Kluyveromyces lactis: one gene and its partner. The protein of the gene in region 1 interacts with the protein of each later gene in a pairwise test. Links are inferred from orthologs where the notes say so. Each region holds a gene or a part of one and is shown on either strand. Other genes may lie near its edges.

Evidence for each region.
Region 2: the proteins of SPO22 (region 1) and CST9 interact in a two-hybrid assay, tested with the Saccharomyces cerevisiae proteins (2 studies listed by BioGRID). The link is inferred for Kluyveromyces lactis from reciprocal best matches to the Saccharomyces cerevisiae genes SPO22 and CST9.

The regions. Positions count from the first base shown.
Region 1 is NC_006039.1:808,640-825,157, reverse strand, and holds SPO22 (Spo22p), read left to right. Parts: upstream 1-9,362; coding exon 9,363-9,414; intron 9,415-9,519; coding exon 9,520-12,341; downstream 12,342-16,518. Other genes in the region: DSE3 (Dse3p), read left to right, coding at 1-491; RBL2 (Rbl2p), read left to right, coding at 861-1,178; KLLA0_C09416g (uncharacterized protein), read left to right, coding at 2,338-3,552; KLLA0_C09394g (uncharacterized protein), read right to left, coding at 3,679-7,233; chromatin-associated RNAPIII regulator FPT1, read right to left, coding at 7,780-8,664; KLLA0_C09306g (uncharacterized protein), read left to right, coding at 13,162-14,574; proteasome regulatory particle base subunit RPN2, read left to right, coding at 14,980-16,518. UniProt on the Saccharomyces cerevisiae protein: Involved in chromosome segregation during sporulation.
Region 2 is NC_006038.1:300,295-315,868, forward strand, and holds CST9 (SUMO ligase CST9), read right to left. Parts: upstream 2,187-15,574; coding exon 1,242-2,186; downstream 1-1,241. Other genes in the region: COX8 (cytochrome c oxidase subunit VIII), read left to right, coding at 296-517; isocitrate dehydrogenase (NADP(+)) IDP1, read left to right, coding at 3,150-4,439; DPM1 (dolichyl-phosphate beta-D-mannosyltransferase), read left to right, coding at 5,029-5,826; serine/threonine protein kinase regulatory subunit ATG13, read left to right, coding at 11,516-13,570; PZF1 (Pzf1p), read right to left, coding at 13,721-15,139; DNA-directed RNA polymerase core subunit RPO26, read left to right, coding at 15,539-15,558. UniProt on the Saccharomyces cerevisiae protein: Component of the synapsis initiation complex (SIC) necessary for the synaptonemal complex assembly. Stabilizes the ZIP2 component to the chromosomes.

The DNA of each region.
Region 1 (16,518 bases):
ATGTTGATTGCCTGAAGCTACCAAATACACCAGAGTTAAGTCCTACTGAAAATTTGGAAGCCAACATCTCCACTCCAGAATACGTTACTTCAGGTGGGTCGGATCAAAGTAGTGGTGGTGAGGAGTTTTCAGATCTGGATTCCTTAGCTCTGGGGTTTAAGTCACCAGTTAGTGTAAGTGATGAATCTTTTTACAGTTGTTCAGAGGAAATTACGAAAGATATCAACAGTCCATCTACTACCTCAGAAACTTCCTTAATGAGCAGACACTTTTCCATAAGGAATGCTGGATTGACTGCCATTAATCCAAAAGTTCTAAATATCACTGATATGCTCGGATTTTCGGACGAAGAGGTTGAAGAAGTGACCGTCACAGACTCCCCTTCTGCTGAATACATAGATATTTCTGACAACTACTCCACAAAGATCGTTGACGATACTACAAGCAGCATTTATTCCCTTCAATCTGCTACAAGTAATCAGTTCGAATAACGAATTCGACGATTACGATTGAGTAACAAAGTATATAGCTATACCTAGCTGTATACACTGCATTTAAAACAATGAAAATACCCAATTATACGTACAAACCGTGATCGTAAGATATAACATCACTTATGTTTTTGTTCTACCTTGGGTCGTATTACCCTATCAAGCAGAGTGAATCTGCTTTCTATTTTTACCGTTTACGGTTTCTCAAAATCATAAATACTGAAATCCTAATGGAAAACAATAACTTCACGACAGTACTATGGTCGAAGTGCCTTCATCTTTTCTGAACCTTATTAACATTGTTTATGAGCAAGAATTGAACCGTGATACCAGATCTTGTTTGCCACAGGTTGATAAATTGCATACACAATGGCGCCTACACAACTAGAAATCAAAGAACGAGCACTCAAGAGATTATGCAAAGAGGAACATTTCTATCAAGAAGAGCTTGAACAACAGAAACTCCATGTCAAAAAATTACAATCAGATCCATCAGTAGATCCATATGATCTAAAGAAGCAAGTTGAAGTGCAACAAGATACAGAAAGGCTACTTCCAGAATTGTATAAAAAGATCAAACAATTTAGGGATGACCTCGATAAATACCTAAGCTCATACGAGGGTACAGAGGATTTAGAGTCTGCAAAGGCCGCGCTTGAAACTGCTGATGAACTTTTGAAGAACTAGGTATAGTAATTGTGTATACTGTATAGTTTTTAAGTCCTCCATGCATTGAAACTGTGGATATATTTGATATCGTTAGTAATATTAGTATGGTACTAATTGAAATATCATTTTGAGGCCCGAAAATGAATTTTAAAGTCGAAAAGAAGAGAATATCTTGAAGAGTTAGCGAAAGACCCAACTAACAAACACCACCAAGATGAAGCAACATCAAGCAGAAAAGAAACCTGTTAGTAATCAGTTATCAACGGGAGAGAGAATAGCAACTTGTTAAAGTCCATTTAATTATGTTCGAGCTTTGAGAATCAGCAAAAAAATGTTCCAACTGAGGTTCGAACTCAGGACCTTTGCCGTGTGAAGGCAACGTGATAGCCACTACACTATTAGAACAGATCTTAATTAAAAAAGAAAAAACTTGCATCACTCATGCGAGCTAGATTATTGTTGCGAACTAGTCATAACGCATGACCGGGTAACTACCAATGTAATAGGCGGTTAAGTATCAAGATGATACATAAGGATTGTTTCTAGTTGAAACATCATTAACCAATCTGAGTTATTATATAAGGAGGCATTAGATCCGGGTAAGGACAATCAACACAGTCATGCCAGATCGCCAGGTGCATCAACATACATTACTAGATATATAGCTAATAAACACTATGGATTTATCAGATACCAAAGATCTTAATTTAACAACACGTGACTGAAAATACCAGTATCACCAACAGAACTCGCATTTGTCCCATACACCACCGACGTTCAACTATTAACCAACCACCGGGAGGTTAGCGTAGTATCCAGTGTCGTGTGGGAAAGAAAAGCTATATTCGAAGTAAAATTTCCAGTATTGAAGTACTTCACGTGCTGAATGCACCCAACTTGTTTCCATTCGAGCCGTCAAACGTATAGAACTCGCGGCAATGCACGTGATAATAGCTTTTTTCATTGTCTTTAGCCGGCTGATAAAGAAATACCAACTTTGCACAGTTTATTTACAATTACAAGTTAGTCACAACATGAACGTGTTTTAAAAATAAGAACTTGTTATCGATCGTTTTACTTTCTCATAAACCCTCAAAATATCTAGAGCATTCGTAATATTCGAGTCTAAGGCATATCAGCTCGTCAACCTGGAAAAAAATATGCAATATATCGATCAATGATGGAAGTTACAGCGCGTCACATCTCTTTTCTGCAACTTTCTTGGACGACATTTCAGTCAGTTTTGATTGTATTTATCATAGCAGTAAGCGGTTTCCTATCTGCTTATGCAGGCATATTACCAAAGGAAGGCCAGAAAATTGTATCAATGCTGAATGTCAGTTTATTGACTCCTTGCTTGATCTTTAGTAAGCTTGCCCGTTCGTTGTCCTTCGGAACTTTGATTCAGCTTTACGTGGTTCCAATATTTTATACAGCATTAGTGAGTACTTCGTATTTCAGTGCTTCACTGGTGTCAAAGATTCTTAAATTGGATGGGGATGAAACTAATTTCGTTATTGGAACGTCAGTGTTCCCGAACAGTAACTCATTACCTGTTTCTCTGATGATGTCGCTAGCATACTCGCTACCCCAACTTAAATGGCCTGAGCTTCCCAACGATTCTGGAGATAACATTGCATCCAGAGGTGTCCTTTACTTAATCATATTCCAACAAATCGATCAAACGTTGAGATGGTCATGGGGTTTAAATAAGCTATTGAGATGGTCTACTGAAATTGAGTTGAGCATTGAAGACACAATGGAACAGAATGCAGATAGATTGTTAACCAGAGGATCTGAGGACGAAGCGAACAACTTGACTAAAGTAGGCAGCAAGTTAAGATATCATTGGAATAATTTGCTATCATGTATGAATGGTCCATTGTATTCCATTATGTTTTCCATTCTCGTGGCGTCAATAAGACCATTGCAAGAGCAGCTGTTTGAATCCAACGGCTTTCTGAAAAATACACTAACGTCAGCTATAGATCAAATGGCTGATGTTTCTATCCCTTTGATTCTTGTGGTGTTGGGTGCCAATCTGTGCCCTTCATCTACAACTCCCTTGGGAACGCATAATCGCAAGAGAATAGTTTTAGCATCAATCATTTCAAGAATGATTCTACCAGCTCTTATTTTATTGCCATTGCTTGCATTTACAGTGAAAAAACTGCGAAAAAGCATATTGACCGATCCCGTATTTATATTAGTCTCATTTCTATTGACTGCATCTCCACCGGCCATTCAACTAACTCAATTGACCCAATTAAACGAGTTTTTCGAATTTGAAATTGTCAATGTGCTCTTTTGGACATACGTTGTCATGACCCTTCCGGTGACGATACTAATGGTGACAATCGCTTTGAGAGTGATGGATTGGGCAAGTCAATGAAACATACAACTCAATGCAACTGGCTTACATTCACAAATTATTAATTCATTTAACTATTTATATATTATTAAGTTAAAACTTTTGTTACAAAATTGTAGCAGCAAAACCAGTGGTTATGCAATTGACTCATATTTTTTTGGAGTCTTTGATTAGAGAACTGAAACCACTGTCAGTTTTCTTCTTTCCCAATGCTTTAGATGCAGATTTTGCATTAATAAAATTAGTATCAGATCCATCATCTGACGAATCGCTGTCACTATCACTATCACTACTATCATCGGTCCCTGACTGAAGTTCATCCTCTTCACTCAAACTAGAACTTTCGGGTTGGGGAACAGTCTTTGCAGCAGATTTTTCCTTGACTTCTGGAACCCCTCTAGAAACTAAGTCAGACAACGAGCTCAATGAGTTCCGAGATAATGTTTGTCTATTGACTTTAGTAGCTTTGGATGGAGGGGAAACTAAAACAGACTTCGCAGAAGATTTGTTTGCGGTTGGAGAAGCATATTCCATCATCTTGGTGACTGGAACCTTAATTGGGGATGAGTTGCTTTGTTGTGTTGATTGTGGGGCATTCTCCAGATCAGAAGTACCTTTGTCAATAGCGCTTTTAGAGATCGAGCCAATTAATCCCTTCGGAGTATCTACAATACCTCTACGTGTCTTTTTTGTCATAGATGTTTCATTTTCTGACGAAGTTGAGCTCTCTGAACCTGAAGAGCCGTCGGAATCTGAACTTGTATTGCTGGTTGAAGTAGAAGACAACTGAAGTTTGATAGGTTTATTAATAGTTTTCTTAGGCGGACCTGTTATGGACGCTTTCCCAACAGCGAATTTATTCCGTAGTTCGTCTAACTTTGATGCTCTTGATGGAGAGTCAGGTGACTGTACACCAGATTCAGCAGCTTTTTTTGCAGGTGTGCCGTTGGCCGAAGATTCGGTCTCTGCTCTCTCAATTACCTTGGGGGTTATATCTCCATTTTTCTTAGTTTCTTTCGGTCCTTTTTTCGTTGTAGATTCAGCTTTCTTGCGAGCAATCTCCTCTTGTCTCGCTCTTTTGGCAGCTTCTCTTTCAGCTCTCTTTCTTTCTTGCTCCTCTTGTTTTGCTCTTCTAGCAGCTTCTCTGTCGGCCCGTCTTCTTTCCTTCTCTTCCTCTTTCGCTTTTCTGGCTGCTTCTCGCTGTAATCTTCTTTGTTCTGCTTCTTGCTTCTTTTTCAATACGGATGGTGTTATTTTCTTCAGTTTGATGTCTTCGCTATTTTCTTTGTTAAAGGAGGGTTCCGTGTTTTCTTTGTTATTTTGGGATCTTTGGGATAATGTTATATTCTCATTTTCAGCATCACCATCGGAATCCTCTATGAACTCAGGGGAGATATAATCCTTTTTATTCCTAGTAGGGGAAGGCGAAAGCTGGCGATCTATCTTATCATGTAGCTGCATCGAAGGCGACGGCGTCACTTCCTTGGGTGTATCAACAGGCTTCAATGTTATTAGCCTCGAGCTAGTGACTTTGGCAGGCTGGGAAACACTCTTCATTTGGTCGACCTTACTTTCTGATTTCTGTGGATTTTCTGAACCAGCAGCTTTTCCTTCCTCATTTCCTGGTTCATCAGCACTTTCGCTTTCTTCTGAAGAGGATGATGATGAATTAGCTGAATTTGTCTTGTTAAGCTCATTTGTATCCTGAGTTTCCTCAACCGGTACCATAACTGGTCTTAATGGATGCACATTTAGTCTTTTGAGGTTGACTTCATCCATGCTATTATCACTATTTTCTGTTTCAATGTCACTATCTGAAGATGGTTCTTCACTAACGACTGCAGAAGAAGAAGAAGAAGAAGACGAAGACTGCAACGGTCTCCTTGAGGTTCCTGTAGAGATGAATTGGGCTGCTTTTTGAGCAGCCTGTCTTGGGAGCTTTGAAGGTAGGATATTTCTTGGATCAGGTTCACTATTGTCGATATCTTTGTTTAATACCGTAAGATATGGTTTTCTCGATCGTTTATTAATATCATTTTCCTGTAAAGCTCCAGCAGCTCTTCTGAAGGCCGGAGGGACATCGAATTTAGACCCCTTCAATAATTCGAGCAACTCGGATTTCTGGAAACTACCATCCATTCGGTCAGTTGGATGAATGCATACAGTATCATTGGCCTCATTTTCACTTTCTGCATTTTCAGATTCCGATTCACTGAACCCTTCTTTTCTCGTAGTATTGCTTGATAAATGGTTATCAGCTACTAGTTCTGATGCATTTTTAGCTAATTTTTCCACTTTCGCCTCCAAAGAACTTTTCCTCTGTGGTGGAAGGTCAGCTACTTTGACATTCATGCGCTTAGTAGCATCTAGAGGACTTTTCTTTGTCGGAGAACCGTTATCATCGGCAATGGATGAAGGTGCACGACTCTGCACACTAACTGGCAATGGAGCTTTTGAGTTGACTCGGACCGGAACGCTTTCTTTGTCTTCAGTAAATTCTCCTTCAGAGCTAGAGGAATCGTGCTCGTCAGGAATATACTGTTTTTTCATTGGAATTTTAGCTGACTTAGGTGGCAGAAGGCCAGCAGCTGGAGAAGAAAGACCTTCATGCATTGTTCTTTCCATCTCCGAAATCCTGGGTTCGGGAATGCGTAGCATTCCTGAAGTAATCCTTTTATTGGTGACCACCGGAGTAGAATTAATTCTTAACAAATGCTGTGCTTGCTGAGGCATTGCTAAGAAACCTGGTCTATTAGGTGTCTCTATAACGTTCATTGGTTTCATTGGAGTGCCTGATGGTAATCTTTGCTGTTTAGCTTTACTTGGATCGACTGTTTCTGATTTTGACACAGTATCTTCTGAGCCGTTAATTTTCAATCGTTTTTGCGCAATACTTGAACTTATTCTAATTGGAGGGGATTGAGGAACAGTTGGAGGTGGTAAAATGGATTTATCACCTATTTCATCATCCCCATACTCATCCTCTTCATAGTCAGAATTTACTTGTTTCGGATTTCTTTGACTCGGAGGAGGATAAATTTGGTGCGCCAAGGGTGTAGATATCCTCAATGCAGAGTTTTTTAATGCTTGCGGTCTCCTTTTTGCAACTGTTACGGGTTGATCTAATGTTGCACCTGTCGAGGTGTTTTGTTGAGAGTTCCCGTTATTCAACTTTCTTCTCTTGGAAGAGTATAATGATTCTTGCCTATCTGGATTAGATTCTAAGTCAACATCATTTCTTAAGATTACGCGAACTGTATTGTAAACATTGAACACATCTTTTACGACAAAATCAGGATCCAAATCACATTCATCTACATCTTGTAAGGTATCGATTTCTAATTCTGTTGATAAATTGGGGTAAATTTTGTTACATTTGTCTAATATTTCCTGCGAGAGCTGATATAACGTATTTGTTGGTTTCGTAAATATTAAGAATTTTTTGAGTTTCGGTCTTGTGATATGGGAGGTCATAAAACTGGAAAGATACGCTGTATTTGTTGATACATTTGGGTCTAGAGCCCCAATTCCATTCTGAGCCGGAATATTATTCGCTAATTGGGGAGCATTTCCTCCCTGTTGCAGAACCTGTTGTTGGACAGGCAGAATAAACTGAGAGGATTCTGATGATACAGAAGGTAAACCAAAATTGAAACTTCTATTAGCGCCCGCAGGCACCAACACAACTTGCAACTTAAACATTGCAAGAAAACGATCACACCTGTTTGAGTTTATAAAAATACTCTTGCGACCAGTTCAATGGAGTTGATTTCAAATTGTAACCCCAAGGACACTGCCGATAGATACAACTGTCTCGACTATTTGTTTTTGTTTTGTTCTTTGTTGATATAATTTGGTTCTCTTCATTTATGAAATGTTCAACTTTAAAATAGATAGAGGTTTTGACAGAAATGCCGCCTTCGTTTAATATGATTTGAGAAGCTAAGCGCTATTGTATTATGTACATAAGGCAAACACGTAAATATGTTAATGGTTAGTGAATAATGATATGGAGAAGACCGCAACCTGAGGGCCTGTCATTCCTAACATCAGAGATTTTAAGTAAGATTCCTTTTTTGATGGTATCGTTTATTTTCTTTTTGTATATTTTAAATATAGATGTTAATGTATCAAATAGATGAGAGCAACTTCGTCTTGAGATATCTGCATTCAGTTGGGGGGTACAAAAGAGGCGCACTGAACCTAACAATTCGAGATCGACAAATTTGAGTAATAGAATTTTTATTTTTAGTTGATAGACATTCCGTTCCCCTTCCTAGCAGGTTTATGGACCTGTCCGGCAGGTGTTTTTTTATTCTTTGCAAATGACGGCAACCTCAATGATCTCGTAGAAGGTTGTCTTTCCGTGTCATAGGTCTCGAAATTCTCAGCCATGGATTGGAAGAAAGTGTTGAAGTTTGATTGAAGTTGGGTTGATGGCATATGTGTGTAATCAGACTGAAACGTTATATTTTTATTAGCTTTAGTGGAAGCGGAAGGAGGAGATGAAACTGGGCTGTTGTCCTGATGGACTTTAACATCATACGATAGAAGGGTAGAGCCAAGCTCTCTTTTATTAAGGTCAACCATAGATCTAAGCAGAGAAAGAGCCATTGATGTTTTAAGCTCATAAGGATCAATTGGTTTCTTCAACTCTCTGGCTTCAAAAAATATCATAAGGTCAGTGGCAATAGAGTCCCAATCGATCTTCATGGTATCCCTAATGTTGAACTCTTTAAGTAGGTTTCTGACCATGAAGATATGCTGTGAGTCTTTCAATGCTTCAACTAGACGATCAGGTAAGTCCGTTAACGTATTACTGCCGTATAAAGTTGCTATTGCAGAACTCAACTTCCATTCTGAACGTGATTTCCATAAAGAATACGTATCTTCAGCGACGCAATATTCTAAAATGTAAAACGGCTTGTCATGATCGTCAGTATCATCACTATGCGAATTGGACTTTATCTTTAAGTTTCCTGTAATTGTTTCCACAGCTCTTAGTTGCAGCTGAAACACATCTTGCATCCTATGTAAATACCTTATTATCTCTTCAATTCGCGGCACGTTCTTGATTTTGGTAAGCTCGACTTTCGGCTTATTTTCACCAGCATAAACGTATATCTTATCCATTTCTCCCAATGACTCCAGTCTATTGTTATCTTCGAGTGCCACCTACAGTTATTCACCTAATTGATTACTCTCTTCTTTTTGATTACGTGTCTGTAGTGGGTTCAAGCAATCTATATTTGAATATTCACGTTGTATAATTAAAGCAAACTATGTATAAAAAACAATGGACAGTTAACGTATAATCACATGAAAACGAAATGAAGAAGTAATATAAGGACCATGGGAATGCGTGAGCAAATTGACAAAACCAAGTGTTAGCATGAGACACCCGCTAATGTCTGGGGTAAGGGGGGTGTTGGACCCCTGCTTATATGTTGTGATATTACTGAATTCTGATTATGGCTCTTCTTCGAAAAACATATGTGGTGTGCAGATTTAATGTCGAGATGTAAAATAAAAATTTTGGACGAGTCCGGAGTCGAACCGAAGACCTCTCCCATGCTAAGGGAGCGCGCTACCAACTACGCCACACGCCCGTATTAATCAGGTGTCATCCTCCTCCGTTAACCTGTCCCAAACTTCATGATGTTGCTCACGCCTCATCACCGGGTGATTTAAATTTTTTAAGGGAACTATCAGAACATTCTAAAAGTAACATCGGCGGCTAACATTTAAACATTCGAATACGTAGGTAAGATGACAAGAAGAGATTGAACAGCTCCACATATCCATTGTAGTTGCTTGCTGAAGTTTATTGCATGATGTGTGAGCTATCTTCAACTTTCAAGAATACCATCATCGAATTCGACGGTATGTCATTTTCTCTGAGAGAGCATCAATTCAACTAGATTAATCAAAGGGCAGCAACAGGCCATTTCATTCACAATCACACTACTAACACAAAGATAATTAAAGATGCGTTGAATTGGATAACAACCAAGATCAGTTCTGCGAAATGCTTGACTGAGGATGATTACCAACTTATTGAGTCTAAGATTAGAATCTTTATTCCTATCATAGATAAACATGCTAGAACTCTCAGAAGCACCAAAATATTGCTTGAAGAGGCATTGCTCTTTTCCTTGGAAGATTCTGCCACTAAATTATGGAATTCAGTTGCAATTTTGACCAAATTGGAAGGAGATGCATCTGAAAAGAGAACTATAGCAAACTGTAAATTATTCGTCTCTTTATTACTTGGTTTACACGAAGCAATTGTAATTGATCCAAAGTGCAAACTTAGATCATTTAGATGTATTTTGAATACAACGAGATATGCCATTGATTATCAAATTCAATCGGAGCTTAAAACGCAGATACAAAATTACTGTGATTCATGTTTTCAACAGCTTGAACAGTATTACGAAACATCCAACTGTTCTGGTAATGAATCTCAAGACGAATACAAAAGACTGAAAGTGGAAATGTTTATGGTGTATTTACAAAATGCAATGGAGGAATCTGACTTGAAAATGGCAAGATTTTATGAGGAAAAGGCTGAAATAGAAAAGAATGCCTGCGCGTTAGATGCAGACACAGTGATTGAGATTTGCAGAACAGTGTACAACGCAGCACTACATTTAATCGAGAATAAAAAGGCAGAGACAAACTTTTCAGATTTGGTGCATATTATGGAGAATTTAGCAAAGTACCTTACCCTAAAAGTTCCTGGTTTGGAAGTTCACCCTGATTTATTGCAGTTAAAGTACACGATACTTTTATTTGTTGCCAATTTAGCAATCGAAGACAACGCAAACACTGAACTATGTGAAAGACGTATTTCTGATATGATCAATCACTATCCTCAAAAACTTGAGTCATATAAGTTGGCAATAAAGTTTCACGAACTTCATAAGCCGGGCGACTATGTCTACTTGGAAGATATCTTAATGCAAATGCTTTCGACAATAAATGTATCAGCAAATATTGAAGGGATTATTGGATTTATTAATCATCAAGCAGAATTGGATACAGCCTCAGCGCTTCGTTGCTTGGACTATATTTTTTTCAACAAAATGAACTCCACCATTGATTCTAATGTTTTAGAGTTGTGCTTAGCAACAAGATTTTTCATAATCTCACAATCAAAAGCGCTGACTAACGACATCAAAATCAGAGATATGACACAAACACTGAATAATGTGCAAAAGATGATGACTAAAAGATTGAGCAAATCATGCGCCGCAGGTATCATCACTTTACTGTTCAATGAGGGAAAACAATTGTATAAAACAGGTAAACAAGCAGAAAGCGTAGAATGGTTCAACTTGGCGCTTAACGAATTGTTTTCTACAGAGCATATCGATACTGGGAAAATCCAGAGGGCCTTACAGTTTGCAATGGTTGATTTAGGGGATTTCGATAGCGTTGAACAGATATATTTTGAAATGAGTCCATCTGATCAACGGAATGCTTTAACCCAGTTGAACATGTTTCGGGTGTATGCTCACAGAAACGACTTCGATGGGGCGAAGAAATGTCTCGATACTCTTAAGGAATCAAACAATGACAAGTCAGTAGATGCTTTGATTATTGCAGTATCTGAATGTAAAAGATCAACCGACTGGGGAGTATACGGAATGCTTTCTATGTTCGATAAGATCCAGCATATGGAAAATAAAATTGCTCATACAAGAGGAGCCTCTGTTATCTGTTCGTTGAGGTATACAATTCAAATGTTGTTGAAAATGACAGAAAAGGACGGTATTCAAGATGTCGGGAAATATCTTCCAACTTTGCATATGTTGCTTAATAAGGGATCTGAATTCATCAAGACCGCCAAAACTTTGAAACAGTTGGCGGGAAAAGTGCAAAACCCCGGAATATATGATGAAGCAATATCAATTGATGATATAGAATGGTTTGCATCAGCTTGCTACAATTTGGTGAGGAAACTATTGAATGAAGGCAGAATAACATATCTAGATCATTTGATTTCCGATTGCAAATTATACTTGGAGTATATTCCTAAGGAGGAGTTGGATGACCATAAGAAGTTGTACTACCGTTATTGGGAGATTAGAACTGACGTCCTTTCTTTGGAACTTTTGCACCGGACATCGAACTGGATTTCTCTGAAGGAAAGTAGCCTCGCACTTATAGCACAAAACAAGGATTTCTTTAACACTTCCAAAGATAAGGAACAATCGGTGTTGACATCTGAAGAAGTACACAATACATTTATCGATATTATCGTGCGATCATTCGAAGCAGCGATGAATCTCGGAGATTTACTGCTATTGAAACACATTTTAGACGCTACTGCTACAAACCCCGACTATAAAGTCGACGAACTCGTTTGGGATGTATTCACAAATACACAAAAGATCATGTCTGACGCCTTTGCAACAGAACTTTTGAAATGCCTAATTGACAGAAATATGGGAAATACATCTATTTCGGATGATATCTTGAGTCAATGGATAAGGTCCTTACTAGAGGTCTCCCAGGGCACGGATGAACAGAACTGTTTAACAATTTTGTCACAATTTCAGATCAGAATAAAACACGCTAATAATTATTGTACTACCGAAATTGAATGGTTGACTACAGTCATTTGGAATCGAGGAATCTCTTATATAATCACTGATAATAAGTCCCAAGGTATTATGTGGTGCCAAAAAGCTCTTGAAATCTCTAAAATGAGTCCTTCAGAAGCTTTACAAAACCAGTTAAAGCAGTTCTGGTCGGAACTATCTTCGAAAATCAATCTCAGTAACATAGTTCTCAATGATTAAAACGTAACTACTTTATTCTGTCGTCATGTCAATCTAAGTTTGAATATTTAAGCAGGGGAGCCTTGAAAAGTGCGTTCTACATGACGAATGAATATGTGTCATGTGATTAACTCAGCCTTTCTGACTTCGATAATGAGCCAATCCAAAATTGACTTGAATTATTCCTTCCAAAATACGATTGTGCAAATGACTCGACAAAACCCGCCTTTTTTTAACTTGGACACTTCGTGTAAAGTGATTGCTTATGGAAGTATATCTCCGAGAAAGTATCTCCGGAAGATCATCTCCATTCAAATAGCATTGTGAGTATTTCATGCAGGTCCCAACACGGCTGTTGGCTGCATTAGTACCGTTGAGGAATGATTCATTGCGTGCAAAGGCAAGATACTTAAGTTCGAGAGGTTTAAACGTTATACCCTAACAAGGCCCTATTTTGTCAGCTCTAGGTCTGCAATTGATTGAATAATGAGTCTGATGACTGTTATGAATTAGTATGTGAAAAATTTTCCTCCAAGGTATAGAAAAAAAGCAAAAATAGTTTAATTACTACATGGATTAATTAATTCAATGTGTGGGAATCAGTGTGAAATCGTAATTGAACGTGATGAGTAATTCCAAGTGTCTCATTTTTTCACAGTAAGAAATAAAGTATATATAGAGGGTCAGATCATCTGGTAAGAATACGGTAAAATAGAACTTACCTCAACACTTCGCACTTAGCTATAGACTATCTATTCAAATCGGTTCAGTTTTGTTACTCAATACCTGTTCCTAAGCTAAAAAAACTACACCACTTACAATCAGTAAACATCCCAGCATTATGGCTTTCGGTCAACAGATCAATAATTTACAGGATTCCTTCGAGGCTGCTTTGAACTTATCCAGTTCTCCAGGTGCAGTTTCCACCTCTCCAACTCAATCCTTTATGAACACATTGCCACACAGAATCAATGCTGCAAAGCAACAGAAGGCTTTGAAGCCATTCTCTACGGGTGACATCAAGATCCTTCTTTTGGAGAATGTTAACCAAACAGCTATTGAGATTTTCAACAAGCAAGGTTATCAAGTCGAATTCCACAAATCCTCTTTACCAGAAGCCGAATTGATTGAGAAGATCAAGGATGTCCACGCCATTGGTATCAGATCCAAAACTAAGTTGACACCGGAAATTTTGAAACACGCTAAGAATTTGGTTGTCATTGGTTGTTTCTGTATTGGTACTAACCAAGTTGACCTTGACTTCGCTGCCAAGCATGGTATTGCTGTTTTCAACTCTCCATTTTCCAACTCCAGATCTGTTGCCGAACTAGTTATTGCAGAAATCATTACCCTAGCTAGACAATTAGGTGACAGATCTATTGAATTACACACCGGTACTTGGAACAAGGTTTCTGCTGCCTGTTGGGAAGTAAGAGGTAAGACTTTGGGTATCATCGGTTACGGTCATATTGGTTCTCAATTATCTGTTTTGGCTGAAGCTCTTGGTATGAACGTTCTCTACTATGATATTGTCACTATTATGAGTTTGGGTACTGCTAAGCAGGTTTCTACTTTGAATGAATTGTTGAACAATTCTGACTTTGTGACTTGTCATGTTCCAGCTACTCCAGAAACTAAAAACTTATTGTCTGGTCCTCAATTTGCTGCTATGAAGGATGGCTCATACGTTATCAACGCATCTAGAGGGACTGTGGTTGATATTCCTGCTTTGATTCAAGCAATGAGAGCGGGCAAGATTGCCGGTGCCGCTTTGGATGTGTATCCAAATGAACCTGCTAAGAATGGTGCTGGTGCCTTCAGTGATAATTTGAACACATGGACAACTGATTTGGTCTCCTTACCAAATGTTATCTTGACTCCACACATTGGTGGGTCTACTGAAGAAGCCCAAAGTTCTATTGGTATCGAAGTGGCTACTGCACTAACGAAATACATCAACGAAGGTAACACCGTCGGTGCCGTTAACTTCCCAGAAGTTTCATTAAGAGCATTAGATCTGGATCAAGAAAACACTGTACGTGTACTATATATCCATCAAAATGTTCCTGGTGTTTTGAAAACTGTCAACAACATCTTGTCCAACCACAACATCGAAAAGCAGTTCTCTGATTCTAACGGGGACATCGCATATTTGATGGCTGATATTTCAAATGTTAACCAAAGTGATATCAAACAAATATACGATGAGTTGAACGAAACTGACTACAAGATTTCAATCAGATTACTATATTAAAATGCTATGTTAGAATACTAATTCAACTTAGTTGCTTTTCACTTCAATTATAATATCGGTATAGATAAAGGATAGAACGTATAATTATATATTGTATGCATGATAATAGTGCTTCTCGATTTTGTAAATGGTGCAATATTGATCAACTGGACAACTGCGACTATCTTGCAAAGCACATTTCCTGATGGAGGTGGAGAGCATATTCTTGAAGAGGCTCTATAAAATCATTCTATACGATTAGGGTAGTTTTTGTATGGTTTCTGATTTAATTTGACAAACGGTGGCAAACTTTAGAACAGAAGCTTCAAAAGTATATAAATAAAGTCATTTACTATTCGCACCACATCTGCACATTACCAGGTTACATCGAGACTTAAGGTATTTAAAGCCGTAAACTCAACCAGAATGTCAGTTACATCTGCATTGCCGCTTTTGGCGTTATTGAAGGAATCTGACAACACTGTTAAGACTCATGCATTACAATCAATTAAAGACGTGGTAGATCAACAGTGGTCCGAGATATCAAATGATATTACCGAAATAGAAGCATTGTATGATGATGTATCCTTTCCTGATCGTAGACTAGCAGCAATTGTGGCCTCAAAAGTGTATTATAACCTTGGAGAATATCAACTAGCGGTTAAGTATGCCCTAGCTGCAGGAGAGTATTTGAATATCGATGAACAGTCGCAATATGTCGAAACGATTGTGTCACAGAGTATCGAAATGTATATTGAATTTGCTTCTAGTAACTACGAATCGGAACCTGTTGAAATTGATCCACATTTGGTTTCTATCTTTGAGAGAATGTTGAAGAAGTGTGTTTCTTCAGGGGAGTATAAACTTGCATTGGGAATCGCATTAGAAAGTTACAGACTTGATGTTGTTGAGAAGCTTCTCACTTCCCAGGACACCAGTACTAATGCCCTCAAATTGTGCTCTTACACATTGGCTGTATGTACCACTGCATTAACCAATACTCGCTTTAAATTGAGCGTATTGAAGAAGTTGTATGAAATTGTCATGAACATGCCTGCCCCAGACTACTTTATTATCTCAAAAATTATCGTACAGTTAAATGATATCGAATTTGCCAAGGAGCTCTTCTTCAAGTTAAATTCAACTAAATCATATGATGTTTCCTACCAAATCGCTTTTGACCTAGTAAACTCAGCCTCTCAGGGATTATTGAAGGATCTTTCTAATTCCTTGGACGCCAATGTATACGATCCTAAGTTACTTGAAATCCTTTCCGGTATACCCACCTGCGATTTGCAAAACACTTTTCTATTTGAGAACAAAACCATAGACAAGGCTCTTCTGAATAAGATGAAATCATCTTTGGATGGTAAATTCTCCTTATTCCACACAGCTGTGAGTGTGTCCAATGCTTTTATGCACGCAGGGACTACGGATGATAGTTTTATCAGACAAAATTTACAATGGTTAGGCAAAGCCCAAAACTGGGCCAAATTTACCGCTACTGCTTCACTAGGTGTTATTCACCAAGGCAACCTCTCAGATGGAAGAAAGATAATGGAGCCTTATTTGCCAGGAAATGGTTCAAAATCGAGGTATATCAAAGGTGGTTCATTATATGGTCTAGGTTTAATTTTTGCCGGCTACGGTAAGGAATCAACTGACTACTTAAAAGAGCAAATTCAAGCTAATAGTTCTTCCGTTGGAGAAGAGGATGTAGATGTGTTGCTACATGGTGCTTGTTTAGGTATTGGGTTGTCAGGTATGGGCTCGGACGATGTGAATGTTTGTGAGATGTTGAAAGAAGTGTTATATGGAGACTCAGCTAAATCTGGTGATGCGGCTGCTTTGGCTATTGGTTTAATTTTACTAGGTTCAGGTAACCAAACTGTTATTCAGGACTTGTTAACTTACGCAGAAGAGACTCAACACGGTAATATCACAAGAAGTTTATCGATTGCCTTA
Region 2 (15,574 bases), on another chromosome or scaffold:
ATCTTACACCATTACCCGGATACTCCGTTTGTGTCTCACTACTTTCTGAGCCGTTTTCCCACTTCTGTCAATTTTTTTTGTTATTGCACGACTTTTTCCTAATCCTGTTTCTCTTCTTAGCAGCGATAGAAAGGTAAAAAAAATATATCGTATTATTTTTTTTTTCATATTTCAATACAATTAGCACTGCAATTTACAACTCTTGTTAAGGATGGTTTATAGTTTATTGTTGATATTAATAACTTTGTTTCGATAACCTAGCGTCCAATACCACAGCAAATATTCCAATCAAAACATGTTTTCCCAAGTTACCAGACTAGCCACCAGAAGAGCCTTCTCTGCCACTTCCAAGCAATGTGGTGCCCACTTCAAGGAAGGTGTTTACTCGAACATCCCAGTTAAGATTCACAACAGAAAGATCCCATACGCTTTCATCCACTTCGGTTTCTTTGCTCTAGGTTTTGCTGTTCCATTCATCTCTTCTTACGTGCAATTGAAGAAGTTTGGTGCTTTCTAAATGAGTGGATAGAAATAAATTTCCTGCCCTCTTTGTTATATCGTATCCTTTCACAATAATTTTCGTTTTATTTTCATGTCATCATTGCTACACATTCCATCCATCTGCAAATGTCCGCACTATTGCAGCCAGCCGGCGAACATATTCTATTCTATTACTTGATGAATAATGAATAGTCAGTCCGAGGTTTAAAGAAAATACCAAGCACATCACAATAACCAAAACCAGACAGCAAAATAGAATATTACTCAACTCTTCATTTCACATTTATTTATCTCTCGAGAGTGATGTATACCTGCACTCGTCGAAATCAAAAACTAAAGCAACGGTTCGAAGCAATCTGAAGCTAAAGTTGAAATTAGTGACTTCATCGACACTTTGACGAGACTCATGCAAACAAAAAATCACAAACAGATAACAAAGGAATTAACATTATCATACTCCTGGACCGTTCGTGAGATCTAATAATAATCTTAAAAGAAAAATAGCACAAGAGATAAGTGGATTTGGAATCAAGTTTCACCGGGAGTCTTCAATCGTTTCCCTCATTTTTTTCTATCTTCCGACTATCAGCTCAAAGAAATACTATATTATCAACATGAAATACTGTCAGAAACATCATTTATTTTTATCAATATGTTTAAATTTAAACGTATAGGTCTTTAATTAACAGAAATTCAAAAAACGTCAAAATCAGCTTATTTATCAACTGACAAATATTTAATCATTTCTTAAATTTATTGTTTCTCGATTGTGCCGTGGTGTTATTCCTCGACGGGAATCCCGTTGTAGTTTGAGAAGAGTTAATCCTCATATGTGATAATATTCCCCTTGATGATATCGTTGAAGTGCTACTTCTTTTCAATTTCAATCTTTCCAATGCATTCGGTAATGCTTTCGTGACTCCTTGTCGTGAGTTTGATCTGGCGCCGAACGTGTTATTAATGTTAGAACCGCTTTTATTGTTCATTGAAATTGGTGTTGTTGGGGAATGCGGTACCAATATTGGTGCCGTTCTTCCAATTGACGTAGATTCAGCAAGAACGTGTGAAATATTTGGAGATTCGTTTCCATCATCTGAAGTTGTCCGTGAAGGTTTCAATCGGTGAGAGTTTTGTAGTTTACTGATGAACGACTCTTGATTATCACGCTCAATCCCATCCTTTGCGTTTATTAAATTTCTGGAGTCATTTCTAGTAACCATCGATATGACGTCTCTGTTGGTGTCCTTCATTCTTAATTCCTTCTTCAAAGCAGTAAACTTGTCTAATTCTTCCTTTGCCTGGTACAACAGCTGTCGTTGTCTGTTACACTTTTCCTGTAACTTCAGACACATATCTTGATAGTATTCACATAATTGCACCATTGACTCCCACTGGAAATTAGCTACTGTGTATAATGGTTCCAGTTGTGATACAAAGGGTTTAAAGAACGATTGCACTTCTGTCGGTAGTTTGGAACTATCACCATCTAACGGAAGTACTGATATTCTACTCGTCGTGCACACGGGACAAACCGTCATTCCATTATGGTAATGCTTATCACAAAGGATATGAGCACATGATGTGAGCCAGAACTTTCCATTGCTTGTTCCTTGCTGGTTGTTATACGGTTTATGGCATTGGGAACAGTTTACCCATATCTGATTCAAATCAACTGGCGGAGACATTAGACTCAAATGGGAAGAGAGGTTGTACTACTAACTTAGTTTTGGAAGTATTTAACTGAGGGTTTGGTCAGTTTCAAGAAATGATACAAACAATGGCTGTATTGTAAGAAATATACAATTAGCCGCCGAAATCAATTTCCCAAACCCAACGAGAAAAAATGTCACCCGGAAACAGAAGAAATACATCACAAACCACGTGACACTAAGGAAGTCACGTGGTGTACGGATTAATTCCCGCTATCATCTCCAGTATTGCTGACATGATCATTGGGTATATAGGAGGGAAGACGCACGCTACAAATCCAAAGCCAATGCCAAAACCAGTCCCTGACTCATGGCCGGCTCAGGCCCTGCCTTCGCGTCCTACCAAACACCCAATTCATATCACCGATTAACCACCACTACTGGAAAAGTACGAAGCTTTCGCTGTCTATCCTGAATCCCGAGTTGATCCGGTTTTTTTCTCGTCTCACAAAGCCTAACCGTCGCATTGGTAACGAAGTTCCCCACGACAAATTAGCAAAAGCGCCCCAAAACAGAGCCCAAAACGGCGACTTACTAGCAAATAAACAAATTTCGGGCAGTTTACTACCCCCAAAATTATTGCATCAATCGTGGCTCTGAAATATTACAAACCCGCTACTTCCATGTTCGGTAACCTTCTCATTGCAACTACAAAAGTACTGCGATTGCCATTGCCCTAAGTAAGTTATATGAATGACTCTTCTATCATTTCTATTATAGCTATTCGCTTTATTTTTCTATCACTGCTTTGAGAAGGATATTTTGGCTTTTAACTGTGATTAGTGATGAGGTTAAGTCTATTATATATATATGCATGTATATTTGCGTCTCTGCGCTATAAAGTTTCTGTATCCTTATAACTTTAGGTCAGGTTAAGGTTGGTATATTCGACGGTTGTTGTATACTGAGCTAAATTGAATTAGGACAGGACAGGACACTATGAAGGCCGCAGTGATGAGTATTAATCGTCAGTTTTCCAGCTCTGCTGCAACTGGGTTGCGCAAGATTAAAGTTCAGACTCCCGTTGTGGAGTTGGACGGTGATGAGATGACTAGAATTATCTGGGATAAGATTAAGAGTAAACTTATCTTACCATATTTGGATGTGGATTTGAAGTATTACGATCTTTCCGTGACGAACCGTGATGCCACTAACGATCAAGTTACTGTGGATTCTGCTAATGCCATCAAGAAATACGGTGTTGGTGTGAAATGTGCCACTATTACACCGGACGAGGGTCGTGTTAAAGAGTTCAATTTGAAAAAGATGTGGAAATCACCAAATGGTACCATCAGAAACATCCTTGGTGGTACTGTTTTCCGTGAACCAATTGTCATTCCTAGAATCCCAAGATTAGTGCCTGGATGGGAAAAACCTATTGTCATCGGTAGACATGCCCATGGTGATCAATATAAGGCCACCGATCTTGTCGTTCCAGGTCCTGGTAAGTTGGAATTGGTTTACAAGCCAACTGATGGATCCGAGACCAAGACTTTGGAAGTTTACGACTACAAGGGTCCTGGTATCGCTTTGGCCATGTACAACACAGACGAATCCATCCGTGGATTCGCTCATGCCTCTTTCAAATTGGCTATCACCAAGAAATTGAACCTTTATCTTTCCACCAAGAACACTATCTTGAAGAAATACGATGGTAGATTCAAGGATATCTTCCAGGAAATTTACGATTCCGAGTATAAATCCGAATTTGAAAAGTTGGGTATCTGGTACGAACACCGTTTAATTGACGATATGGTTGCCCAAATGATCAAATCTAAGGGTGGATTCATCCTTGCGTTTAAGAACTATGATGGTGATGTCCAATCCGATATCGTTGCTCAAGGGTTCGGGTCCCTTGGTTTGATGACCTCTGTTCTAGTGACCCCAGACGGTAAGGCCTTCGAAAGTGAAGCTGCTCACGGTACCGTCACTAGACACTACAGACAATACCAACAGGGTAAAGAAACCTCAACAAACTCCATCGCTTCCATCTTCGCTTGGACTAGAGGTTTGGCCAAGAGAGGTGAACTAGACAACACTCCAGAAGTCGTCGAATTTGCCAACTTGTTGGAAAAATCCACTTTGAACACTGTCCAAGAAGACGGTATCATGACCAAAGATTTGGCCCTTGCCTGTGGTAACACTGACAGATCAAGTTATGTGAACACCGACGAATTCTTGGATGCTGTTGAAAAGAGATTCAGAAATGACGTTAAATCTCTGCAGTGAAAATGCTTTCAAGAACAGGAGAGTACGTCGATGAATAAGATTACACACATATATGGGCTCTTTTCTTAATAGTAATATTTCTATATAAAACATATAAACGCACAAATAACTACACTAATCCCTCTCTATCCCAAATACCTATTAGAAGTTTCCTTGCAGACTACGGTAGCATAATCCTAAATTGTCGTTCGTTCTATGAATAATAGCTTCTCTTGTCGCTGTCCTAGTAATTTCATTACCCTGCCTCTGTCACATGTACCAGGCTCACACACCTCATTTTTCACCCGATGTTGTCTGTCCTTCCTCAAGTCCAAAAATCGAAAGTGGACAACATGTTCAATATTTTAACAGTTACAAAAGAGAAACATATAAAGAAACATGCCTGACAATTCTTGTAGTTAATACTTGAAGTATTGTTTTTGTTTAGTTGTATTAGAGTACCCAGTCGAGCTTTGTTAGCAAATCACACGCTGTTATATTTTCTTTGGGGAAACAGGAACCTTTTGACTGCTATTATCTATAACTAATAAAGACCGGATATATTTATACCAATTGCTCAAGAAATAAACATAAGATTATACTATAAGAAATGTCTATTGAAAACTCTGTTGTTGTTCCAGCGTACCACGAAAAGCTAAATATCAAGCCATTGACCACCAGGTTATTCCAAGCCTTGGGTAAAGAAGGTTCCAATATCACTGAATTGATCTTCGTCGATGACAATTCCCAGGACGGTTCTGTGGAAGAAGTTGAGGCTTTGAAGAAGCAAGGTTACAACGTCAGAATCATCGTCAGAACCGACGAAAGAGGTCTTTCTTCCGCTGTCTTGAAGGGTTTCCATGAAGCCAAGGGTGAATATTTGGTTTGCATGGATGCGGACTTGCAACATCCACCAGAAAGTGTTCCACAATTGTTGGATTCTTTGAGAACACATCCATTCGTGTTGGGTACCAGATACGCTGCTGGTGTCGGTATCGACAAGGACTGGCCGTTGTACCGTAGAGTCATTTCTAGTGGTGCTAGAGCTATGGCTAAACCTTTGACTTCTGCCTCTGATCCGATGAGTGGGTTCTTCGGTTTGCAAAAGAAGTACTTGATTCACAAGGATGCCAAGAATATTAATCCAAAGGGTTTCAAGATTGCCTTGGATTTGTTGGTTAAGTTGCCAATTCCTCCACAAGAACCTATTGGCGAAGTTCCTTTCTTTTTCGGTGTCAGAACTGAAGGTGAATCTAAGTTGAGTGGGAAGGTCATCATACAGTATTTGCACCAATTGAGAGAGTTATACACCTATAAATATGGTGGCAACAACCTACTGCTGTTCTTCCTATTCTGGACTATCCTAGCACTGTACATTCTGTACCAGGCTTACCACTTGGTATTCTAGTTCTTGAGATACTGAACAAGAACGAACTTTTCTTTATCATAGCAAACAATAATAAACTCTTAATAACTAAATATCCATAAAACCGTATTTCACAAGTGTTCCTAGAATATTGTTCAATGCCCAATCAACTAAAAGGTGGTTTAGCTCTAGTTTACTTTCCTTAATATCTGGGGAATAATACCACCTGACTCAAGGATGATCTTCGAGAAACATTCTCGTTCTCGTTACCCTGATGATGCATAGAAACTTTAAAGGGACGCCCATGCACAAATGATCAAAGAAGTGTAATTTAAAGGATACTAACCAATAGCAATTAATGAGGGGGGGTATGTCGAACGACAAGCAGAAGACTCAATAATCAACTCACAAGTGTTAGTTTATGGGTAAAGTACTTATAAGTTCTTTGAATCTAGGCTATCTGATTATCCGTGTGTTTGCGTTTATTCGGCTTTTAAACAAACATTGTGAGAGTGCAAAGGTTGAAGGGTAACGTGGCACTGATATGAGAGCTGTACTCTTAAGATTGAATGATAATGGTGAGCCACAAGTCAGTTGTTCTTACAACCATGGTGTGCTAACCATGCCATCGCTTCCTATTCTACCGAATAAAGCTCCAGAAGATCCATTGTACACTGTTCGTTTGGTTGTGGCAGCAGGCTGCCCCGTTGCTCGAGATGGTTTAATTTGGACTAATTGTCCCGAAAGCCATGACATCGAATTTGATAGGAACAAATTCCATAAGAAATATATCAAGGCAAGCTTCCATAAAGATGATTTTATTGATTTGAAAGTATTTAATCCGGGGTCTTATTGTTTTTACCTCTCTTATCGTAATGAACAGGACCAGTTGGAAACAACTAGGAAGTTTTATTTTGTGGTACCACCAGTCCTTTACTTGAACGATAAATTTGTTCCCTTAAATTCAATTGCCTTACAGAGTGTAGTTTCGAAATGGATGGGGAAAGATTGGGACCCAATATTTCGCAAAATCGATAACAAGGGATATAACATGATCCACTTTACACCTCTTCAACAAAGAGGAGAGTCCGATTCTCCTTATTCTATCTATGACCAATTGACCTACGACTCCAACTTTTTTAACACCGTAGAGGATGTGAAGCAAATGGTCCAAAAGTTGCATAAAACTCACAACATTCTCGCATTAACAGATGTGGTTTACAATCATACTGCTAACAACTCTCCATGGTTGTTAGAGCATCCAGAATCTGGTTACAATCACATTACTGCACCACATTTACTCCCTGCTATTGAATTAGATAAAAGTCTACTTGAATTCAGTGGTTACATGAAGGCACTTGGATATCCAACGGATATTTCATCTGTAGAAGATCTTATCTCTATTATGGATGGTATCAAAATTCATGTTTTAGGCTCTTTGAAATTATGGGAATTCTATGCAGTAAACATCGATGCTTTATTGAAAGAAGTTGCAGATCAGTGGGATTCGACTCCATTGGAAGCTATAACAGTTCCTGGTGATGTTGAAGATGACTTGGTAAAATTGGCCGGTTTCATTCGTAGCTCTTGTACTAATGATGACTTTGGTTCTTTATCCACAAGATTTGCAAATACCTTGATAATATCCAAGTTTATCACAATTTTGAGACAACTTCATGGGGAAGAATGGAATGGCAATGTTGCAAATGAAGCACGCAAAATTTTGGATGAATTGAATTTACCCTTGTACAAGGAATACGATGAGGACGTTCGCGTAATCTTAGACCAATTATACAATCGCATAAAGTATTTGCGGATTGATGATCATGGTCCAAAGATGGGAAAAATCACTCCTGAATCGCCATTAACTGAGCCTTATTTCACCAGATTGCTTGCCAAAGATGGTAAGGAATATGCATTGGCTAACAATGGCTGGATTTGGAACTCTAATCCACTAGTAGATTTTGCATCAAAGGACTCCAAGGCATACCTACGTAGAGAAGTGATTGTCTGGGGGGACTGTGTGAAATTAAGGTACGGTTCCGCACCTGAGGATTCTCCGTATTTATGGGAGAGGATGTCAGAGTATACAAGACTTCAGGCAACCATTTTTGACGGGTTTAGAATCGATAATTGTCATTCTACCCCACTTCACGTGGGCGAGTACTTCTTGGACCTGGCAAGAAAATATAATCCAAATCTTTACGTAGTCGCTGAATTGTTTTCGGGATCAGAGCAAATGGATTGTATTTTTGTAGAGAAGCTTGCAATTTCATCTTTGATAAGAGAAGCCATGCAAGCTTGGTCAGAGCAAGAACTTTCAAGTTTGATTCATAGACATGGAGGAAGACCGACTGGTTCTTATAAATTCATGCCACTTGATGATTTCCCATATAGTCCCGAATTGGAACTCGATGAAGATTTTGTTGATTATAACAACCGTTTAGGCGATGAACTTAAAAGTCTCTCCGAAATTAAGATCCCAAGATTTTTATCTGCCGCTCCACCTCATGCTTTATTCATGGATTGTACTCATGATAACGAAACTCCTTATCAAAAAAGAACTGTAGAAGATACTCTACCAAATGCCGCTCTCGTTGGATTGAGTTCTTCCGCTGTCGGGTCTGTTTATGGTTATGATGAGATATATCCTCATTTATTAGATGTTGTCAAAGAGAAACGTCAATATTCAGTGGTTAAAGATGATGGTATATCCATTGTGAAAAAGAAATTTAATGCAATTCGAGCAACCATAGCAACGCAGAGTGATGATGCAGAAGATTCCGAAATGCATGTTCACCATGATGGTCAGTTTATCACGTACCACAGAACTCATGCTAGACTCGGTGATGGCTACTACTTAATTGCGAGAACAAAATTCAGTGAGAATGATTATGATCAAAGGTTACCTACCGTCACTCTATCGGGGTCCACTGCAGAACTTCTTTTCAGTTATTCCCTAGTTAAAGATGGCGGTCTGCCTAAAGATGATGACAAGATAATCAAAGGAATCCCCACAAAATTGGTGGAATTGGATGGATTTGTTATTCAATATAATGAAAGTTTAGGTGATACCACGATCAGCTTACCACACGACTTCCCTGCAGGTTCGATTGCTGTATTCAAAACAAAACAATGCGGAGTTACCGAAGACTTAGACGAATTTATTAGAACTGGTGCTTTAAAAGCCTCTGAAAAGTTGAGTTTACATTCATTGAATGCGGTTTTGTACAGATGCAGTGCAGAAGAGTCTGATGTCAGTGCTAACAGAGGAGGTATATATACGGTGCCAGATTATGGTCCACTAGTGTATTGTGGGCTCCAAGGATGGGTGTCTGTCTTAAGAAACATCATATTTAGTAATGATCTCGCTCATCCATTAAGCAAAAACTTGAGGCTAGGTCATTGGGCTCTGGATTACGTGGTAGACCGCCTTGACTATTATAGGGAAATGCCTGGGATTTCTGAAATCCAACAGTGGCTTAAAGCAAGAATGGATCGCGTCAAGAAAGTTCCATACTACTTGGTCCCGCGTTTCTTCGCATTAGTAATTGGTATTGCATATGAGGTTTGCAGATTTAGAGCTATTTACCAGATGTCTGAGAATATTGGTCTCTCAAACCTTTTTGTGCAACGCCTTGCAATGACCTCGGTGCAAATGGTTTCTGTGATGACTTCAACATCTTTATTACCTGATCAAAATGTTTCGTGCATGGCTGCTGGTTTACCACATTTCAGTACACACAATACATGAGATGCTGGGGTAGAGACGTATTCATTTCTTTGAGAGGGTTACTTTTGGCAACAGGACGTTTTGATGAAGCAAAGAACCATCTTCTTGCTTTTGCTAAAACATTAAAGCATGGTCTCATTCCAAACCTTTTGGACGCTGGTAGAAATCCTAGATACAATGCAAGAGACGCGGCATGGTTTTTCGTTCAGTCAGTTCAAGATTATGTTCAAACGGTTCCAAATGGAGAAAGCATCTTGAAGGAAAGGGTCTCAAGAAGATTCCCTAAAGATGACCGTTACATTCAATGGACTGACCCAGAGGCTTTCAGTTACGAATCTACTATTGAAGATATTCTCTATGAAATCGTTTCGAGACATGCCAAAGGAATCAAGTATAGAGAAGCAAATGCCGGCCCAAACCTTGATAGAGTTATGAAGGATGAGGGTTTCAACGTTGAGGTGAAAGTCGACTGGACAAATGGATTAATATTTGGTGGATCACAGTCAAACTGTGGTACCTGGATGGACAAAATGGGTGAAAGTGAGCTAGCTGGCTCAGTTGGTATTCCAGGGACACCAAGAGATGGTGCTGCTATTGAAATCAACGGGTTATTAAAAAGTTGCTTGAGATTCTTAAGTGAGTTACACGAGAAGGGACTCTTTAAATACGATCATGTCGAAAAGCCCAATGGAGAAAAGGTTTCGTTAAAAGAATGGAATGATCTAGTCTTAACAAACTTCGAGATGAAATTCTACGTTCCATCTTCTGAAGATGAAGATGATCGATATGATATCGATGCCAGTTTAGTGAACAGAAGAGGAATTTATAAGGATTTGTACAGATCAGGTAAACCATACGAAGATTATCAATTGAGACCAAATTTTGCCATTGCTATGACAGTGGCGCCAGAACTTTTCACCCCTGACTATGCATACAATGCGTTGAACATTGCAGATGAAGCCCTACGGGGCCCTGTTGGAATGAGGACGTTGGATCCAACGGACTATAACTATAGACCGTACTACAGAAATTCCGAAGATTCGACAGATTTCCACACCGCGAAAGGCAGAAACTACCACCAGGGCCCAGAATGGGTATGGTGCTATGGTTACTTTTTGCGTGCATACCATCACTTCCATTTCCTCTCAAACCCATTAGCTCAAAATCCTTCAAAGACCTTGCCATCGTCGTACCTCTACCAACAGCTATACAAGAGATTAGACGGACACCGTAAATGGATTAGAGAAAGTGAATGGGCGGGATTAACAGAATTAACAAACAAAGACGGGGATATTTGTCAGGATTCATCTCCTACTCAAGCATGGAGTACTGGGTGTCTCCTAGACTTTTTCTACGATTTATGGGACCGATATGAAGATTCGCCTTAATAATTTACTTTTCTCTGCCTAACCACTTACCCTTAAGATTATAAAACAGATAAAAACAATAAAAATCATAAGAAATATATATATGTATATATATGCAAGATCATAGCCAAACTCATACTCATCATACTTATATATTATGCATTTTAAATTTACAAATAACCGAAAACTGCCCCTCCGGTTCTGTTGTCTGGAAATCTTCCTCTTAACCACAAGGAACTGTGGTTCTTTCTCCACTGTCATCCCAAATCTAACGGTTTTCGTTTGTTGATAGTAAAACAAGCCAGAGAAATCCTAAAAAATAAAATAACAAAATAGATAATAAGGAATTTGGATATAAATAATAACTACGTAAATAAGGGAAACCCCTTGAAAGTTGGAACATTGTGAGTCATTAAGCACCAGTTATTTGCCAAAGCAAGTTTTCACATAGAGAGAAAGCTTTTACAGGACAAAACGGTGGAGAGAAAGCTTTTGTAAGTGGTAGGTTCAAATGAACAGAGCGGCTTGAATAAGACATTTTTACATTTGGTTTAATATTAGAGTGAAAGAGATTAGTTGTTCTTACTGCTTTAATAACACTGACCATAAAAAAGAACAGGCAAACTTCAGGATGTCAGAAGGTGAAGTTCAGGTGATAGAACTCATAAATAACTTCTTTCTTAAGTCTGCGCTTCTACTTGAGCAGTCCAAGGTAGCACATAACTTTGATACGGAGGAGGCGCTGAGGGATGGGAATCATTTGTTTAACATTGAAACTCGCGGCGACCCTCTGTTGGAGGCTCAGATCCAGCCCTGGATCACGTTTGATGGAGTGAAGACAATGCCGCCATTAGTAATAGAAACGTACTTGGATCTACGAGCTTTGCAACCCAACCATATGGTGTATCTTCATGACGCGGATGGTAATCCATGGATGGTTTGTAAAGGGGGCAAGAAAACTGAGATTGTACTGGAAAGATGGCTTGTAGAACTTGATAAGCAGACGATAGATGACTCCATCGATTCAAATGATCCTGAAAACTTGCATAAACAATTGGTATTGTTGTTCCGCTACTTGTACACGCTTACCCAACTCTTACCTGCCAACGACATCATTACCAAGCCACACAATTCACAACAGCCCGCACTTATAAATGTTCAAACTAGACTACTTGACGGTTCTAAGCCTATTCTCTCTAAGGGGAGGGTCGGTTTAAGTAAACCTATTATTGCATCATATTCCAACACAATGAATGAAACAAACATTGCTTCACATCTAGAACAACGAAAGATTACACCGATAAAAACTACATTTGGCTCGTTGCGTATCACGGTGTCTTATAGAAAAGATGTCGACTTTTATGTTATTGATTCAGATGATTTACAAAAACGATACATGACACCATCCTTATCTAATGAAACTACCACGGTACCTGATAGAAGGGCTTCATCCAATTGTAGCAGATCTATGTCAGTTTCCCCCAAGACAAATACCATCAATGCGACGCTTTTTCCCCTAGAAGGTTCATCGGCAAGAAGGCAATCCATCTCTTCTAAACTGCAACCTTTTAAAGTTGGATCAGTTGGGAGTGGCTCGTTTGTACAGAGTGGCAGTGCCCAGTCGACTACGAGTCTTGTTCCAAGTTTATCAAGGAATGTTTCGAGTTCATCAGTGGTTGCTGCGTTGAAAGTTCAACGTGGTAGTGCCGGGTCTACTATAGTAAATGGTGATGTACCACCAGAACTTTCTAGTGTTGGTAGCGGATCGAAATATTCTTCATCTTTTGGCAGGATCCGCCGTCATTCTAGTATTAGAAGATCAGAAAGTTTTGACAGGACCGCTAAACCAAGGAAATCCACTGAAAACCCACCGGAAGATTTGTTAGAGTTTGTGAAACTCTTGGAAGACAAGAAAGAGTTGAACATGAAACCTAATACAATATTGCCGCAACAAGATATCTCAAACTCATTGATGCGATTTCAGTCCATGAAAAGTAATAACGATGCTCTTAGCGATAACCTTTCGATGAGTATGTCCATCGACCAGCCTAATGTTAGGTTTGGCTCAAATTCACATTCTCCAATACCTTCATTTTCACCAAATTATGGTTCCATTCCCTCCAGGCTATCTCAAGGTAGTAGAAACAATAGTAATGCGGAATTGATTACCAGCAGGAAAAGCTCATTGGATAGACACAAGCATAATCTATTGAGCAGAACTGGAAGCAACGTTGACATAAACAGGAGAGGTTCTGTAGGAACTATGGAAACGACTAATGAAGATTCTAAAGAGGACGAACAGTCTCACATGAAAGGAATGCACTTCAGCAATGAAGCAACCATAAATAAAGATGACGATGAGGATGAAATGTTAATGAAACGTTCATTTAACGCTGGAACATCTACTACTGAGCAGGTTATGGGGTCGCCCAGATCTATAAGAAGTATTTCTGTAAGTTCTTACCCAAGAAACCAGCTTCCATTGAAACATCTCAACCTCTCTCACCCTACAACATCGGCTACCACTACCCATGCAAAATTTCATAAGAGTGAAATGAGCCCCGACCCACTGCACACAGAAGGAGCACAACCGCATACTAGCTCGCAACATCATAATAGCTCTCAAAAAAATGATGAAGATGATGATTTGTTATTTGTTATGAGTGATATGAATCTAACCAACTAATAATGACATCAATAATTAATATTAATACAATGGTTTCACGACCTCAAACCATTCTTTCAAAAATGCATTTTATAAATAATTTATACTTGAATATATATATGTGTATATATATAGATATAAACATCACATACAAACTTCACCTGAAATTTTTTAAATCTTCCTAGCGTGGTCATTCTTAGAGGATTTTTGGTTCTCGTCCTCAAGAATCTTCATCTTTAATTCATGAATCTTGTGCTTTTCAATATGAGTATCGAATTTTTCTTTTGATTTGAATGTTCTGTTACAATTGGTATATGGACATTTTCTTTTCTGACCCACTGTATTCAATAACAATGATTTGGTTGTCTTCCCTGACTCAATATACTTCTTTATCTTTATTTCTGCTTCAACTGATCCAAGCTCGTCAACTTTCCGTTTCTTTGAGAAAGAGGGGAAATCAAGTAACGTTTTTTTCCCTGAACTAAAACTGTCCTCCGTTTCTGATATCTTTATATCTGTATTCACTTTAATATTCGTATCTTCATCAGCGTCCGTCGGCAGTAATAGCAATTCTGGATCTACATCTTTGTGACTTTCTTCATAATGTTGTACTAGCTGAGTTTTCTTCGCAAATGATGTATCTGGACATGAAGAACATTTCCAATTCTTAGTGACCAAACTCTCGTCATGAATCATCATATGATTCCGTAAACCTGATTCAGCAACACAAGGTTTCCCACAAATAGGACATGGTAATTTCGGATGGCATTGTTTAATATGTTGTTGTAAAGAAGACCAAGTGGAAAATACGTCGGTACATGAAAGAAAGTCACATTGGTACATTCCGGTAGATTCTGGGTTGTGATGCTTATCTATGTGATTCTTCAATCGATAAGGCCTTTGGAACGTCTTGTTACAGTGAGGGCAGGTAAGTTTCTTTTCGTGAACGGACAAGATATGCGATCGGAGTTGTGGATGTTTGTAGAATGATTCGTTACATCCCTCATATGAACAGTGGAAGGACTTCGTATGTGTAATTTCATGTCTCTTTAACTGTTGTCTGGTTGTGACACCTTTCCCACATATAGAACATGTGAAAGGTTTATCATCTGTATGAGAGAACATGTGTCTATTCAGATGCGATTTTTTCGCAAATTCTTTGCCACAAGTGTCGCATTTAAACGGTTTGATTCCATGATGCACGGTGAGCTGATGCTCCGTGAGCAAACTCGGTCTTGTGAACGATTTGTTACACCCTTGATAATCGCAGAAATATACTTTAGAACGCTGTGACGATGAAACTGACACAGTGCTAGTCACACTGGCCATACTCATAACACTATCCATGGACTCTGATCTGGTTAGCGGCGGTGTAGGTACACAACATTGTTGATCATCATCGTTTTCACCAACAACATTCTGCCGTACCTCATTTTCCTTATTGTATGTCGGCGCGACCATCACAGATTCATCAGTAGCTACTACAACGTTGCCTAAATAGTCCATAACTCGGTTGGGTATTCCGTGTATCGGCGTGAATCTCCTTACCCAATCGCACCTCATCGCCTGGGTTTTTTCTATGAATTTCATTTGAATCTTATTTTGTATTTTCAATTAGGGACGTAAAACTGTAATAATCATACAGAATAGACAGGGAAAAGAAGCAGCTACCACCTCCTTCTGAGAACTTCAGTAACTGTGTACTACTAGCGATTCTCAAAGGTAATGCAAGCAAGACAAATAGGATACCATAAATGGGCTGAACCAGTAACATATTCATACAGTTCACCACCTCATCTCGAAAAGTGTTGATAATCGTTTCTTTTACTGTCACAATCGATTTTTGAAAAATTTGGAAAAATTGGAAAAAGCTTCAAATGAAAATGAGCTAGCGAGTAACACAGTAACACGATGTGGACGATAAATTGTCTTATCCAGGTCTTTATTGTTGATCAGCGGCATCAAGGATTAGCATCTTGATAGATAAAGATGTCAGACAACGAGGGAGCGTATGTTATAGCGATT